Linked DNA regions of Saccharomyces cerevisiae S288C. The gene in region 2 interacts genetically with the main gene of each other region. Each region holds a gene or a part of one and is shown on either strand. Other genes may lie near its edges.

Evidence for each region.
Region 1: of CDC13 (region 2) and STM1, extra expression of one rescues a mutant of the other (dosage rescue), as found in Saccharomyces cerevisiae (4 studies listed by BioGRID, with this or other methods).
Region 3: of CDC13 (region 2) and SAN1, a mutation in one rescues a mutant of the other (synthetic rescue), as found in Saccharomyces cerevisiae (5 studies listed by BioGRID, with this or other methods).

What each region holds. Positions count from the first base shown.
Region 1 is NC_001144.5:438,780-441,788, reverse strand, and holds STM1 (Stm1p), read right to left. Parts: upstream 1,323-3,009; coding exon 501-1,322; downstream 1-500. Other genes in the region: PCD1 (8-oxo-dGTP diphosphatase), read left to right, coding at 1-74; GID11 (Gid11p), read left to right, coding at 1,966-3,009. UniProt on the Saccharomyces cerevisiae protein: Ribosome preservation factor that protect a small pool of nontranslating, vacant ribosomes in cells under nutrient starvation conditions.
Region 2 is NC_001136.10:60,511-67,601, forward strand, and holds CDC13 (telomere-binding protein CDC13), read right to left. Parts: upstream 4,509-7,091; coding exon 1,734-4,508; downstream 1-1,733. Other genes in the region: FMP45 (Fmp45p), read right to left, coding at 362-1,291; DTD1 (D-tyrosyl-tRNA(Tyr) deacylase), read left to right, coding at 4,732-4,796, 4,868-5,255; YDL218W (uncharacterized protein), read left to right, coding at 5,983-6,936. UniProt on the Saccharomyces cerevisiae protein: Single-stranded telomeric DNA-binding protein that regulates telomere replication. Has a role in both positive and negative regulation. Promotes [TG(1-3)] strand lengthening via interaction with EST1.
Region 3 is NC_001136.10:741,542-745,449, forward strand, and holds SAN1 (ubiquitin-protein ligase SAN1), read right to left. Parts: upstream 2,334-3,908; coding exon 501-2,333; downstream 1-500. Other genes in the region: PEX7 (Pex7p), read right to left, coding at 1-59; MKC7 (aspartyl protease), read right to left, coding at 2,770-3,908. UniProt on the Saccharomyces cerevisiae protein: Plays a specific role in mating-type regulation of yeast, by acting post-translationally to control the stability or activity of the SIR4 proteins.

The DNA.
Region 1 (3,009 bases), on a different chromosome or scaffold from region 2:
GAAACTTAAAATATAGCGATGTGATACCTGAATACTACATGAAGCACCTGCTGGAGTGCCGCTCGCTTTGGTAAAAAAAACTGTGGTATAATGCGTTGCCTAACAATACTCTCAAGAGATAATCAAGATGAGAGAAAAAGAATCATACTGGATGTCCTTAATCGATAACAAAAAGTTTTTAATGAAGAATGACTAATGATGAAATTGTTATACAAATACAAACAAACTACACGCTTGCACATCTCAGAAGTGAAAAAAAAAAAAAGAAAATTGAAAAGTAAATTAAAAGTCATTTATTTTTTATTGCTTAAATAAAACAAAATGATATGTCATATTCTCGATTGGATGTCAACCCAATTTTATTCTTTGGTTTGCCAGCATGATCATCTTCACTTGCAAATTATATAGTAAATAACCAATTAAAATAATAATAGTAATAGAAACAGAAAGTAGAACACTGTTATTGGATTCTTTCAGTTGGAATTATTCATATATAAGGCTTAAGCCAAAGATGGCAAGTTAGAAACGTCAATGTTACGGTTCTTTTGAACGGTGTTAGCAGAGTTAGTAGCGTTAGCAGTGTTGTTACCCTTTCTAGCGCCTCTACCACCACGACGGTTGTTGAAGTTGTTTCTGCTGTTGTTGTTTCTGTCACCGAAGTTCTTTCTAGTGTTAGATTCAACAAAAGTGGCATCAAATTCCAAGTACTCCTTGGTCTTCAATTGCTTAGATTTGACGTTCTTGACCTTGGTTGCTGGAACGTAAGCTTCCTTTTCAGCAGTTTCAATTCTTTCAGCGTCTAATTCAACCTTCTTAGCTTCTGGGACCTTGTTGAACTGGTTGTTAGCTTGTTGGTTCAAGTAGTCTTGCAAAGACAATTGAGCGGTCTTTGGCTTACCAGCGTCTTCAGCTTCTGCAGCGTCTTCAGCAATTTCAGCAGCAGCATCGGCTTGAGCTTCCTTTTCAGCACTCAATTCCTTCTTGTCATCACCCCAACCTTGGTTAACCTTCTTCTTGGTGTCAGTCTTACCAGTTCTAGAGTGGCGGTCAGTGGCCCTTCTGGTGTTGGACTTCTTGGTGGTGGCAGAGTCAGTGACATCCTTTGATCTGTTGTTTCTTCTACCAGCGGTCTTGTCTCTGATAGCACCCTCGTTACCAGAAGGTCTTGGTCTGTTCTTTCTAGCCTTGGATGGGTCAGCGGATGGAGGTGGGACGTCAGCCTTCTTGGAGGAAGTGTTGCTCTTGACGATTTCCTTTGGTGGCAAAACGACAACGTCAGCGTCTTCGACGTCGTTACCTAACAAATCAAATGGGTTGGACATTGAGAATAAAATGTGTATGCTTTCTTGGTTTATTTCTACTTCACCTCTAAAAGAATACTGTGGGGGGAAGAGAAATTTGCAAAGAAATAACTTCTAATTTAAAACTACGAAGCAGAAAAAAAAATCTTCCACAATAAACCAAGTATACAACTAAAACAAGCGAAGGAAGGAAGAAGAACAAAGGGGATATCGACTCAAAATCAAATATTACAAGGAAAATACCATATAATTTCTCTACTCAGTTAGGGCTTCCTCTACGCAACGATGATATCAAAATTGAAAAAAAAATTTCTTTTTGCGTTGGTGCGAACTTTTGGGAACACTTTCCATTCCAATAATTTCACTTTCCTTTATCTTTCTAAACGGTGATGTTACCCGTCTAAATAACAACATGGTAGCGCCATATGTTATACGGCTACAACTTTGTGTCACGTGACATTGAACGGCTTTAAAGCGGAGTATGATCTCTTTTCTGAGGCAATAAGGGGTGATGATCAGAAAGTGAGGAGGAGGAGACTCTGGATTAAAAGCCTATTACAACTTTATTCTAGTACAAAACTTTTGCTGATTAAGCAACGACAAGTAAGATCGAATAAAGTGGTAGAAAAACAGCAATAAGTTACAAAAGTATACGTGTTAAAGAATGACCATTGATGGCACGGGGCAATCTAAGGAGGCGCTGCAAGATGAACGGTTAAATACTGGCTCTGATAAGGTTTACCAAAACTATATGATGCCTGCTTTAGAACTCTACGATGCCAAGGTCTCCATAAACCATTGGCAGTTGCGGGATTGTATCAAACCAGGCTCCATGAACCAGAGTAAACTGTATTATATTTACGATCATTCGATAAGAGTACTAGATACGGATTCTTCCGTATTGAGGTCTCCAGTAAGGCGACATAATTCTATTCAACCGAGTAACAGTGGTAAAAACTCTACTGAAAAAACGTCTACAAAAGGTTCTAGGACAACGGGCTCGTATATCTCCAAAAATTTACATGTTCCTTCCGAGAAACTGGTAGAGTTCAACTTTAAGCCGAGATGTTTCACGGAATTAAATGGGTTGACTGTTTGTGGTGGTCTAATCGGTTCTGATGATAAGGGATTCCCTTCTAATTGGAACCGTTTAGCTCAAGATGCAAATATTTCGTTGCCGCCACCTTCCCAACCGATTAATATTTCCAAAAATATTAGTTTCCCTATAAATTCACATTATTCAAATCCTAATATCTGGAAGGGCATCGTGGAGTTTTATAATCAAGAAACGGACACAATGATGACTTTTACGTTGGGCCAGTTCATCAATAATTGTGTCACACTTTATGACAGGGCCAGTATGCAGTTTGATCTTTTTGCATGCAACAATGATGGTCATCTTTACCAATGCGATGTAAGTAATAGAGATGTAACACTAGTGAAGCGTTATGCGGATTTAAAATTTCCTTTGAATAACGCTTCTTTGTCACATGATGGTCAAACGATGGTAGTGTCTGGCGATTCTAATAAATTTGCTGTTTACAATCAAAATGAATTAACCAACCAATTCTCCTTACATTACGATAATCATCCTTCCTGGGGTAGTTCTGTCAATCGTGTTAGACGGATACCACGGTTTGCGTTACCTGATGAATCAGAATATATCGAAAACATATATGAAGCTCCAAATTCAGACCATGGGTTTTAT
Region 2 (7,091 bases):
GTTAGTTAGTATTATATATTAATTTTCTTGAGGGGGTGGTATTATTAAAGAATTAAATTCAATATTATTACTATTAATTACACTAAGGTGCCGGGTATTATTGACGTTTTTTTTTTCTTAGTCTCTTTAATGAAGAAGGAAAAAGAACTAAGTTATTATTAGAAGGAAAAGGAGGAGGGGAGGCGAGAAAGAATGGTGGAGAATAAATGAAAATCTCCAAGAAAAAATTTCAGCACGATACATATGGATTATACCATGTCACAAAAAAATATTTCGGTTGGAGGTAGATGCAGAGTTATGGTACTGCGAATGTAGGAAGAAAAAAAAAATTAGGAAGTATTTTATGGTGATTATTTCCTTCCTAGTCGCGTACCGTCACTGGCCCGGCAAGACCACCATCCCCAGCTGGTTCTAACTCAGCTGATGGCACCTGCTTTCTTGTTTTCAGTTTTTGAAAGAACTTGCCATTGCCAGCCGGAGTAGTGGTGGTTGTAGGTTGAGGCTGTCCAACCACAGGTGCGGCTGTGATAGGGCCCGCGCCGTCCGTCGCCCCACTATTGTAAGTGGATTTCTCCATTTGAGCACCGGTGTCAACAGAAGGGCTTTCATATTGGGCATACATGTCGTGGTCCGAGTAGGTAGAGTGGGCCTTGTGGGTAGCACTGAATATAGTGGACCAAATGGCGTTCACGAGCATCAAGAAGACCGAAGTCCAGATGAACGCAAAGTTTTTGGGTCCCAGCCTTGCAGACCTCCCGCTGTTGCGGAAGGTCTTTCTGGCCTTCACATAGCAACCTGTGTACAAGCATGCAGCCAATATAATGAAGAAAAAGGCCAACCAGGACAACACACAGTACAGGACTGGCACTGCCTTGAAAGGAAGGAAGGTAGCCAGAAAGCCGGGTACCAGCGCCAGTACGATGAAAAATAGGGAAATCAGCAGCATGGCCCATCCAACCCTGGATAGATAATAGTAGGTATCCCGGTTGTTTCTGAACGACGATGGTAAATTGACAGAGTTACCAAAATTGTCTCTGGGAGAGAAAGGCTTGGCGGGCGCCCTGCTAGAGCAATTAGCTAGCTGGCCGTCTTCGTAGCCGCACCAATTGTAATTGTACCATCTCGTGGTCGATGGAGCGCTGTTAAAGCCGTTTGTATCAGCCTGTAACCAATAAAAATTTTTCAGCGTTCCAGATTCTCTGCCTCCTGACAGAATAAGAAAAAACGTCAATAAGCCAGCACCGAGTAGGAATAAAAACACAAGCAAATTAACGAACCTTTTGAAAATCATAGCGGTAGATTATAGTGATTAGTGTTACTTGTTACTTGGATAAAAAGGAAAGTATAAGCGTTAAACGTAAATACCTCTTTCTTTTTAATTCACTTCAAAATTACTGTACTTAAAGTTTGCATCTAACGGATAACTAATCAAGAGAACAAAGCAAGATCAAGTAACTGTTGCAAAGCAACCATCCTTTTATATGTCGGCATCTGCGCCGAATGCTCCTCCCCATTCCAGACTATCCTTGTTTTAGCATCAAGAAGGAAGGAAGACCTTTCATTGACTCTTGCTTCTTACCACTCCCCTCTTTCCCTTTTCCTTCGTGTGAAAACGTTCCACTCCCTTATATTCAGAGCACCCTTAAATTTGGTTATTTGGTCTTTTTTTTTTATATTACTCCGAGACGTCACTGCAATTTGGCACCGCCGCGTTGGGCTGCGCGGATCATGTCTTACGAGGTGGGAACGGCTCCGGCGTCATCGTCATTATCCTCCTCCTTTTTCACGGTGACGCCATTTTGCGCGGCAAGAAGTCGCAGAGGATTGACGGTAGCATTAATTGCGCAATCAAGACTCCCTGAATCAGGAGCCGCTGCAACCTTCGGATGGGCCAGCTGTTGTTGCAATTCCCGAAAGGTGCATTCAATTGGGCACCAGATCTGGAGTGCCACGGTAGTGTCAGGGAACAGCGTGAGCGAGGAGGTTATATTGAATTTAAATGAATGGCCGAGAAATTGTGCCAATTGCGTATATTTTTCCTCAAGAGGCTGACGCTGTAAGTAGGCGCTTGAGCGGTTGAAAAAATAAGCAAAGTTCTTGGAGGTAATGATGTGTAGTTGCAACACTCGCTCCGGGGCCAAGCCGCGGGTTTGTAAAAGTGGGAGCTCATTCGTGATATGGAAGCAGAGATCAGATGCGTGGTACTCGATGGCGATGATACGGCCCTCGCAACTGTATAATGTGTTGCTCTTGTGTGTTTGCTGTGGGCGCGGGAGGCGAGCCGAGGAGTCCAAGAGAGAAGATATATCTGTGAACTTTACATCGAAGGAGGACACGTCTGCATTCAGGTCGGGTATGTGTTCTGCGAGAGCTGGTGTAGTGGGTGATTTTTTTGGTTCATGCTTTACTTCATCGAACCTCAGTTTCGCGAGATGAGAACCGTTTCTATGTATGGGGAAAAACCTCCGGTACTCTTCGAAATAGCGTGAAATTGCGGATTCGCCAATTCTCTTGAACGCTCGTTGGTAGAACAATCTTAAATGTTCGCACTGTGAAGGCGAGGCGATGCTGCTTATTTGGGAATGCGGGACCGGCTCACATTCGCGCACAATGGCATTCAATTTGCCGTTGTACATTTTCACTTTTATATTCATCTTACAAACTATGCCGTATTGCGAAAGGTTTTCATCGCGGCCGTTCTGTAGATCTCTTAGCCCGTTGTTGAATATTTTTCTGAGCTTAGAGTCAAACGTTTCGAATTGGTTTTTGTACATGATGGCTTTGAAGCCCTCGTTCAGCTCTAACTTGTTCTCGTAATCTATTAGATATCTGTCGTAAAGATAGTTTTGGACGATATCGTTCTTGGTAAAATCGCTAAAGACAAAAGATATAAAGGCAGGTTTATCAAACGAGCAGGAGACTAGCATGCCAAACATTGTTATGTATTTGGTCTCAAAAGTGTCGAGTCCCAACTGACAGAATTCGATGGTGGGGTCTTTCCTTGCCATTTTGCTCATCCTTGTGCGAGACGGATCGATTGACGCCGACGATTGCGCAGGCACCTGCACCTGCGCCTGCGCCTGCGTGTCGGTGCTAATGTTCTTCAAACTCCATACTGCCATACCTGGGCTGGCGGTCTTGTCATTGTCCCACAGGATCCTTTCAACTTCGACGGAAATTCGATCAGGCTTTTCCAGTAGTAAAATATCCGATATCTTGTCGCTTTGACAGTTTAAAACACCGAAGAGCTCACAGATTCGCTCTCTCGTCGGGATAACGATCTCAATGCAATTGACGCCTGGCACCAGGACCTTGTCTGGGACATTTGGTAAGAGCTGCGTAAAATATAATTTCAATGTGCAATATTTGAACTCATTTATACTGGCGAATTGAGGTGGATTCATGCCAACAATTTTGCCCTCTAACCTTTCAACTGAGCCTACACTAGCTAGGGAAAGTTGCTCATAACTGATGGCTTTGCGGATTGAGGACGCGTTCGGACTGTGGAAAGAAAGCTTTCTCTTCCTCTTGCTTCCGGAATCATCATCGTGCCAATTATTTGGTACGCTTGTTTTCCTTTCAGGTGTCTGTGACTGGATGTAGGATTTTGAGCTGAAATATTTCCCGGTAGAGGAGGTAGTTGAGGAATCTGAATCCTCAATGGGATCTGCGCTGTCATGCATTTCCTCTCCCATGTTGCTTATATCTGTGGTCGGTTCATCTACATTAAGCGTCATAAGCTGCGAGTTGAATTCGTTTTGGGATTCAATGTAAGGTATCCCTAGTCTATTTGGCACAAAGAAAGGATTAATTGCTGCGGCTTTTGATTTCTGCGATAATACCTTTTGTTGGTCTTGAACGAACTTTTTTAGTTCTATATCGTAGTGAATCAACTTTACAAATTTAAACCTGTTTTTCTCGTCTCTATTCATTTCTATTAAATTGTTGAAGATATCCACAAGTGAGTTGTTCAAATCACATTCTGAAATAAGTTCTGATGACGAATGCTTGCTGCTATTTGTCGATTTTGTAGATATGGTGCTTATCACACTTACCAAATCCAACGGTTTTATGTCCTCTAAGAATAGAGTATAGTTCCCGTGTTTTGATACATATAAAGCTTTACAACTTGAAAAACATAACCTTTCAAGGTGAATATCTCTCAGTATTACTGTTGGGGATGCGCCTGAGTCAGAATCTAAATCTGGCAGTTCAATATCAAAGTATTGGCAAAGTAAGGAAATAGTGATCCGGGCTAACCTCTCCGAGCCCCTATCTTTGAACTTCAGTTTGATTAAATATTGATCTTCTTGGGATTGATCTCCTCGCCTCTCAAAATTAGAAAAGCCTAGCAAACATTTTGTTTCAGTCAGGTGTATTGAGGTTAAAAGCGCCACGAATTGCACGGGAACTATTGCTTTGCTGGGATAGCCTTCAAAATCTTTACTCGAGCTCACAAAAATACGATTTTTATGTGGAGGACACTCAGGCTCTTCTAAGGTATCCATTTTTAGGCGATAGTTTCCACGGTCATTCGTATCCAAAGAGAAACATATATGAATATATTCTTAAATTTCCATTTTGAATTAGCATTTCGCATCTCACTAGGCCTTCGCGTCTCTTATGACGTTGAAAAATTTGGATATCAAAGGTTTAAAAAGTATAATCACGTTAATCAAGGCTGCATGTACATATTAAATAATCCACATATTATTCAGCAGCGGATTTACAATGAAGATTGTCTTACAAAAAGTCAGCCAAGCATCTGTAGTCGTCGATTCAAAAGTTATTTCAAGGTATGTTACCGGTTTTTTCAGCTTCGTTAGTGCACCAATTTTTTTTACTAACACCTCTATCTATGTGACAGTATTAAACATGGTTATATGCTCCTAGTAGGTATTTCCATTGATGATTCTATGGCGGAGATAGATAAATTATCGAAAAAGGTTCTTAGTTTGAGAATCTTCGAAGATGAATCCAGAAATCTATGGAAGAAGAATATTAAAGAGGCCAATGGTGAAATTCTATCCGTGTCTCAATTCACTTTGATGGCAAAAACCAAGAAGGGAACTAAACCCGATTTCCATTTGGCCCAAAAGGGTCATATAGCTAAAGAACTTTATGAAGAATTCTTAAAATTACTAAGAAGTGATTTGGGTGAGGAAAAAGTAAAGGATGGTGAATTCGGCGCAATGATGAGTTGCTCTTTAACTAATGAAGGGCCCGTTACAATCATTCTTGACAGTGACCAATAAGATTGACCTTATAGATATATACGAGAAGAAAATAAAAAGCAAACATTATTTGCAATCTTTCTTTCGCAAGATAAAGTACCAAAATCTTTCCATGTTATGTTCTCAGTGAAGTTGAGTAGAGCGGAGAGGAGCCCTCCCCAAAAAAATGAATACAAAATATCTGTGATGGATTTTTGAATTCACGCTTCCTTCAATAACCTTCGCCAAGAAAGTCTAGAATTGTTTTATATTCTTTACATAAAAGTAAGTAAATCAACTTTAAAAAACTTTAAGGGCGAAAATGAAAAAAAAAAAATGTAAAAGTGAAAAAAGGGACGGCGAAGCGATGCCCTGCCAGTCTTACTAATCCAGAGGGCTAAAAGCATGTTTACAGTGTATTTCCAGTCATAGGAGAGTATTGACCTGGCATGGAAAAAGAAACGCACAATGAGAAAGGGGATATATACCCTTAAATTGACGATAGTTAAGGAGATTTTGAGGTTTGTGTTACTAATAAACCAGTAAGCATACTCGTTGATGACTTTAACGTATATTTGGTTTCCAAGGGATATTGAAACCGTATCTTAAGGGATGACGATGGTTGGTTAACATTCCCTAAAAGACAACGTATAAAAAGGTTCAACAAAGCGTCCGTTACCATTATGCTTTGATGTTCTCAGTACGAAAGTTTACGGTTTTTTTTTTCAATTGAGGAACATAAACCAAATAGATATATTATATCAACGTTATGAAACGAGTTACTGGAGTTTTCTTAACACTTTTGAGATTTTCTCAATTTGCATCATCGGTTTTGGTGATGTCACTTTTGGCGTATGCCATCCACGCCTATGGAAATAGAGGTAATAAGAAAACCAACTTCACATTGGCAACAGGTGTCATTAGTGTGTTTTATCTGATTGCCTTAGGTATTTTGTGTCTGGCCCTACCCACATTGATCTACATAGGAATGTACTTCTGTGCCGAATTGATCGTTTGTATGCTATGGCTAGCAGCTTTCGTTGTTCTTGCCAAAGCTCAAGGTGAACGTAGCTGTAGCAACACTAATGCAGACGGATTATACTATAATCCGTACAGTGGCCAATATACTGCTGACAGTCATAGAAGAGCATGTAATTCTTCTCAGGCGGCAATCGCCTTTTCTGGCCTTTGCTTTGTACTGTTTTTGATCAGTGTGATATTACTGGGAATTAATGTCTTAACACCTATCAGGAAGCGTTATCAAACCCAAGGAATGTGGAGAAGCGGCGCTTCTATGGGTACAAAGCTCCATAGGTGGAGCGGACTAGCTTTAAGCGAGCCTTTTGAAGAAACAGCTGCTTACGATAACACCAATGTTAGGACCGGTGATGTCGAAGCAGGTGCAGGTGATAATGCTGCTTACACATCTGAACCGAATGGCGACGCACGCTATGCAACTAATGACCCCAATGGGCAGTACCATACTACCACCACCAACACACGTTACACCACAACAACAGCGGACCCTAAGACGCGTTACACCACCAACGATCGTAATCCTGGTTCTGCGAATGTCGCTAACAGTGCAGTGGACCAGCACGCTTACTCTACGGATGAGTCAGGTGATCGGTCTTATCAAGAAAAGGTCACAGAAGGAGCTCACTCTGGCGCTATGAGTGGTAGCACTGCAGAACCAAACAGGAACGTCAATCAAATGCCATAAATTCAATGATTTCCTTTTTGTTCGTCTATACCCTTCACATACTTTTTCTTTTTCTTTTTCTTTTCTTTGCTTAACGATTTGAATTGCTCCTGTTCTAATAATGGCGTCGTCTTTTAGAAAATCCTTATCAGGTGTGAATAATGCTTAATTTTTTT
Region 3 (3,908 bases), 680 kb from region 2:
AAAAAGGGAGAATACTGGACACCGTACCCACTAAAACCTTGCATATGATATCTGAGCATGTTGTATAAATTATGCAAAAAGTTAGATGATAGTCCGTTAACAATATGAGATCTCTGCACTTTTCGAGCGTCGAATTCCAAATCAGAAAGAAAACGATTTCGACCTCCGGTAAAAGATTTTATGGTAAGAAAACACAGTTTGTGTTCCACAGTTCTTAAAAGTGTTTTCACCTTTTACTGTTTTGCGAAACGACTTTTCAGAGGAGGTTATGTCGGTGGTTTAATTTCTCGGCCTTCATATTTACTTGCTGGAGACATGCAAATTTCTGATTAACAATGATTATAGAACTTTAAGTAGAAGTAAAGAAAAATAAGTATATGATATATATATATAAAGATGCAGATAAAAAAAAGGTAAAAGGAGTAGAAAATAATGTCTGAAAATGGATGACTGCCAATAGGACATATTTTCATATTAACATACTTCAGAAGCGGTATTGTTTATTGTGATGATCGTTGCTCATTGTTATCATTAGGGACGTCGTTATGAATGGTGGTGTCCGAACTGCTTGAACCTTGGCCTTGAGAGGGATTTTCGTCTGTAGGAGGAAAGGCAGCAGAATTGTTGTTGCGTAGTTCGACGGTAGTAACATCACCATTTTGATTTCTATAACTGGCAACACCGGAGGAAAACAAGTTATTTCTGTTGTTCTCACCAGTACTTCCACCTCGTTGTTGATCATTGCTATGGTTATTGTCGTTATTGTTGTCTCTTGAGCCATTCGTAAAATGGCCTGTTAATCGTGAAATATTTTCCAAAAAGGAACTTCCTTGCGTTGTATCAGAGGACGATGAGTCATTACGTCCTTGGTTGTGAACAGTTTGTGCTCCGGGTGCTGTTGTTGCAGAGGTATCAGAAGTTCCCCTCTGAGCAACGTTGAATATGTGATCCAAAACGGCTCTTAGTCTGTTGTGGTGAGGGTCTGTAGCGTCACTACTAGTGTTATTTGAGTTTGGACCGTTCGCTGCTGATGGGCTTGCCGAAGAATCAGAAGCGGAAGGATTCGGATTTGGACTGTGGAATTGGAACAAAGTCAAAGGGATGGGAACCCAGCGCGGACTTTGATTGTTATTCGAACCACCAGAATTAGAGGGTGGATTTTGAGTAGTTGAGCTCGGCCCGTTGACACCGTTTCTATCGCTATCATTAGGCGGTAAACGGACTGGATTGTGTAAAGGTTGGCCGTTTTGAGGCACTAAAAAAAAGCCTGTTCTTGATAACATCTGTTCGCCAGAACTTGCATTTCCGATAGTGGGAACCGTTGTATTGGACGTGTTTTCGGATGGGGCGGAACTATTTTCGTTAGTGCTATTCACTGCAGTTGGGTCGTATAAAACTCGTCTAATACGTTCAAAAGCAGCTTCGTTAGCTGCTACTTCATCCGTATCTTGTTGGGCTGCACGTTGAACACCTACAGATTCGCTGATCTTTTGTCTACAAAGGGGACAAGAATTTTCTAATCTTGACCATTTGTAGATACATTCCCTCCCAAAAATGTGGCCACAAGGTAACTTGATTGGTGAGTGTTTGTAGCTTGGATTTGTTTCTTCATCATTGAGAGTGCGTTGTTGTTCAGTGAGAGGAATAGAAGGCGGTTCAACAACCGTAGCATTTGTAATCGATGGGTTACTGTCATTATCGGCGGTTGTGCGTAGGGGCGCACCTTCATTATCCTTCCTTTTTTTTGTTCCTTCAGATTCCTCCTCATTTTCAGAATCCCTTTTTCTTTTTGCTTTAGTTGAATCAACTTCATCTTCATATTCGTCATAACATATACTACATAAGGGCCCTTCGGCCTTGGGTAGATCAGAAACTTGCAGAACGGGGAGCTTATCAAACTCATCCTTTGATATTCCTTTTGGTCTATTTAATAGTCTGTTGAATCTCTCCATTGCAAGCTGAGCAGCAACAGATATGAAGCTGTTCAAACGGTCTTGTGGAGTAGACGCAGGAACATCACGAAAAGATAAAACAAGAGCACCGTCGGGTTGATGGCCCCCATTTCCGATGCCAAAGCTGGGCCCAGTACCGTTGGCAATCGTGCTACCGGATGCTGCGCTGTTGTTTTCGTTATTATCATTATTAGATATATTGCTCAAATGTGCTAATCTCTCCGGAGTGAAATAGGAATACTGAATGGAAACGGTTATGTTTCTTGTTTGCTCAGCACCACCATTGAGTGGACCGGAAGCTGCATTTGAATTATTATTATTTTCAGCATTATTTGGTGATGTATTTGTGCCTCTGTTTTGTTCTTGACCACTTTCACTCATAATGAACAAAAGCTGAGGTTACAAGACTATGAGAGAAAACAAAGGGGAAAAAAGGGAGAAACGAACTATCCTGAAATGCTAAATAATTTCTATCTATAGTAGCTTCACTAGAGGATATATATGATAAACTATATTTCCTTCAATATATAGTTTTTAGCTATTATTTCATTATTGATTTGGTGATACTAATGCAATGTAGTTATATGTAAAAAATTCTTTCATATTTTTTGACAATGGCAGATAGAATGTTTTACCCGGCTTTTTGCGTCGAAGTATATAATTGTTGATTAAGAAGCCAGTAACAATAAAAAAGAACAGTATTATTTATTTTACGTTAAAAGACGCTTTTCTTTCAAGTAATGTACAATGTTATACCTCCAGATATACATTGCAACTTTTAAAGTCTAGTAAATGCTTATATGGAGGGAGGGATTTATCAAATGTGATGAAAAATAGCTGTAATGAACCTGGCGAAAAATGGAGGATTCAGATTGTGTCCTCCGTTTTCTTTTCTCGTAGATGAACTTGAGGTGGGAGATAACATTCCTGTTGAGGAAGTACTTGAGGTAGATTTTGAAATAGAGAGAGCTGTCGTACTTGTTTGGGTTTTTTGGCCTTTGGAGCTGGAAGAACTTGTTGCCGAATGAGACGTGGAAGCAAAGTACGATATACTGGAGTTAGCTGCCGTGGAAAACATGTTGCCGCCGGAGACAATACTTTCATATGTAGACCAAGTGCTTGAGTAACCAGGTGCTTTAAGAGCACTTGGAACCGCGCTCTCTATAATCTCAATGTATTCACCGTCGTCGCTGAAGTTAGCCTGAGCCATTGATATCTCCATATTGTCCAGATCATATACCACGTAAGTATTAGCTAAGAAGTTATCACCCAAAATAATGGTCGGATCTGACTGCGGTGCAATACCTAGTATACAAATGTTTGAACGACTATCTGTGACTAGCTGAAAATCGCTTAACCAATTAGAAAGATAGAATCCACCAAAATCAAAGATGATGCTACTCTCTTCTTCCATCTCTTTGATACAATCCATTATGTAGTAACCATATGCAGAAGAGTAAGTAGCTCCGACCTGGTCGGCAAGCATTTTTACCAGCTCAGTTGGCATATACGATATGGTCGTACCTGAATCTAGCAGGACTGGGATCTTTGTAGTGGTTAGGGTTGTCAGATTGTCTTCTTTATCCCCTTTCGACGTACCTAATCCTTGTAAAGTGACTTGGAATTGAATTGGATCCTTGTAGCCGCGATGCTGCAAAGTATTAATGATGGGAATTGTGTATAGGTCGCCCGCATATTTTCCATGATCCACAGCGCCAAACAAAATGGTACCATGTTTCGAATCAGAATCATTTGCGAATAAAGAATAAGCTGTTGATTTTATTACACCCGAATTCTTTAGCACCATCGGAAAGTTATTGTAAGTGTAGCTTTTTTGTACAGAGCTGAGAGAAACACCAGAATAAGTTGACTCCAAGCCAGGCAAACCAATACCCAAGACACCAACTGTTGAGTTTGTTTCGTTTGCTACAGCAAATGATAAACCCGTAATGTTCA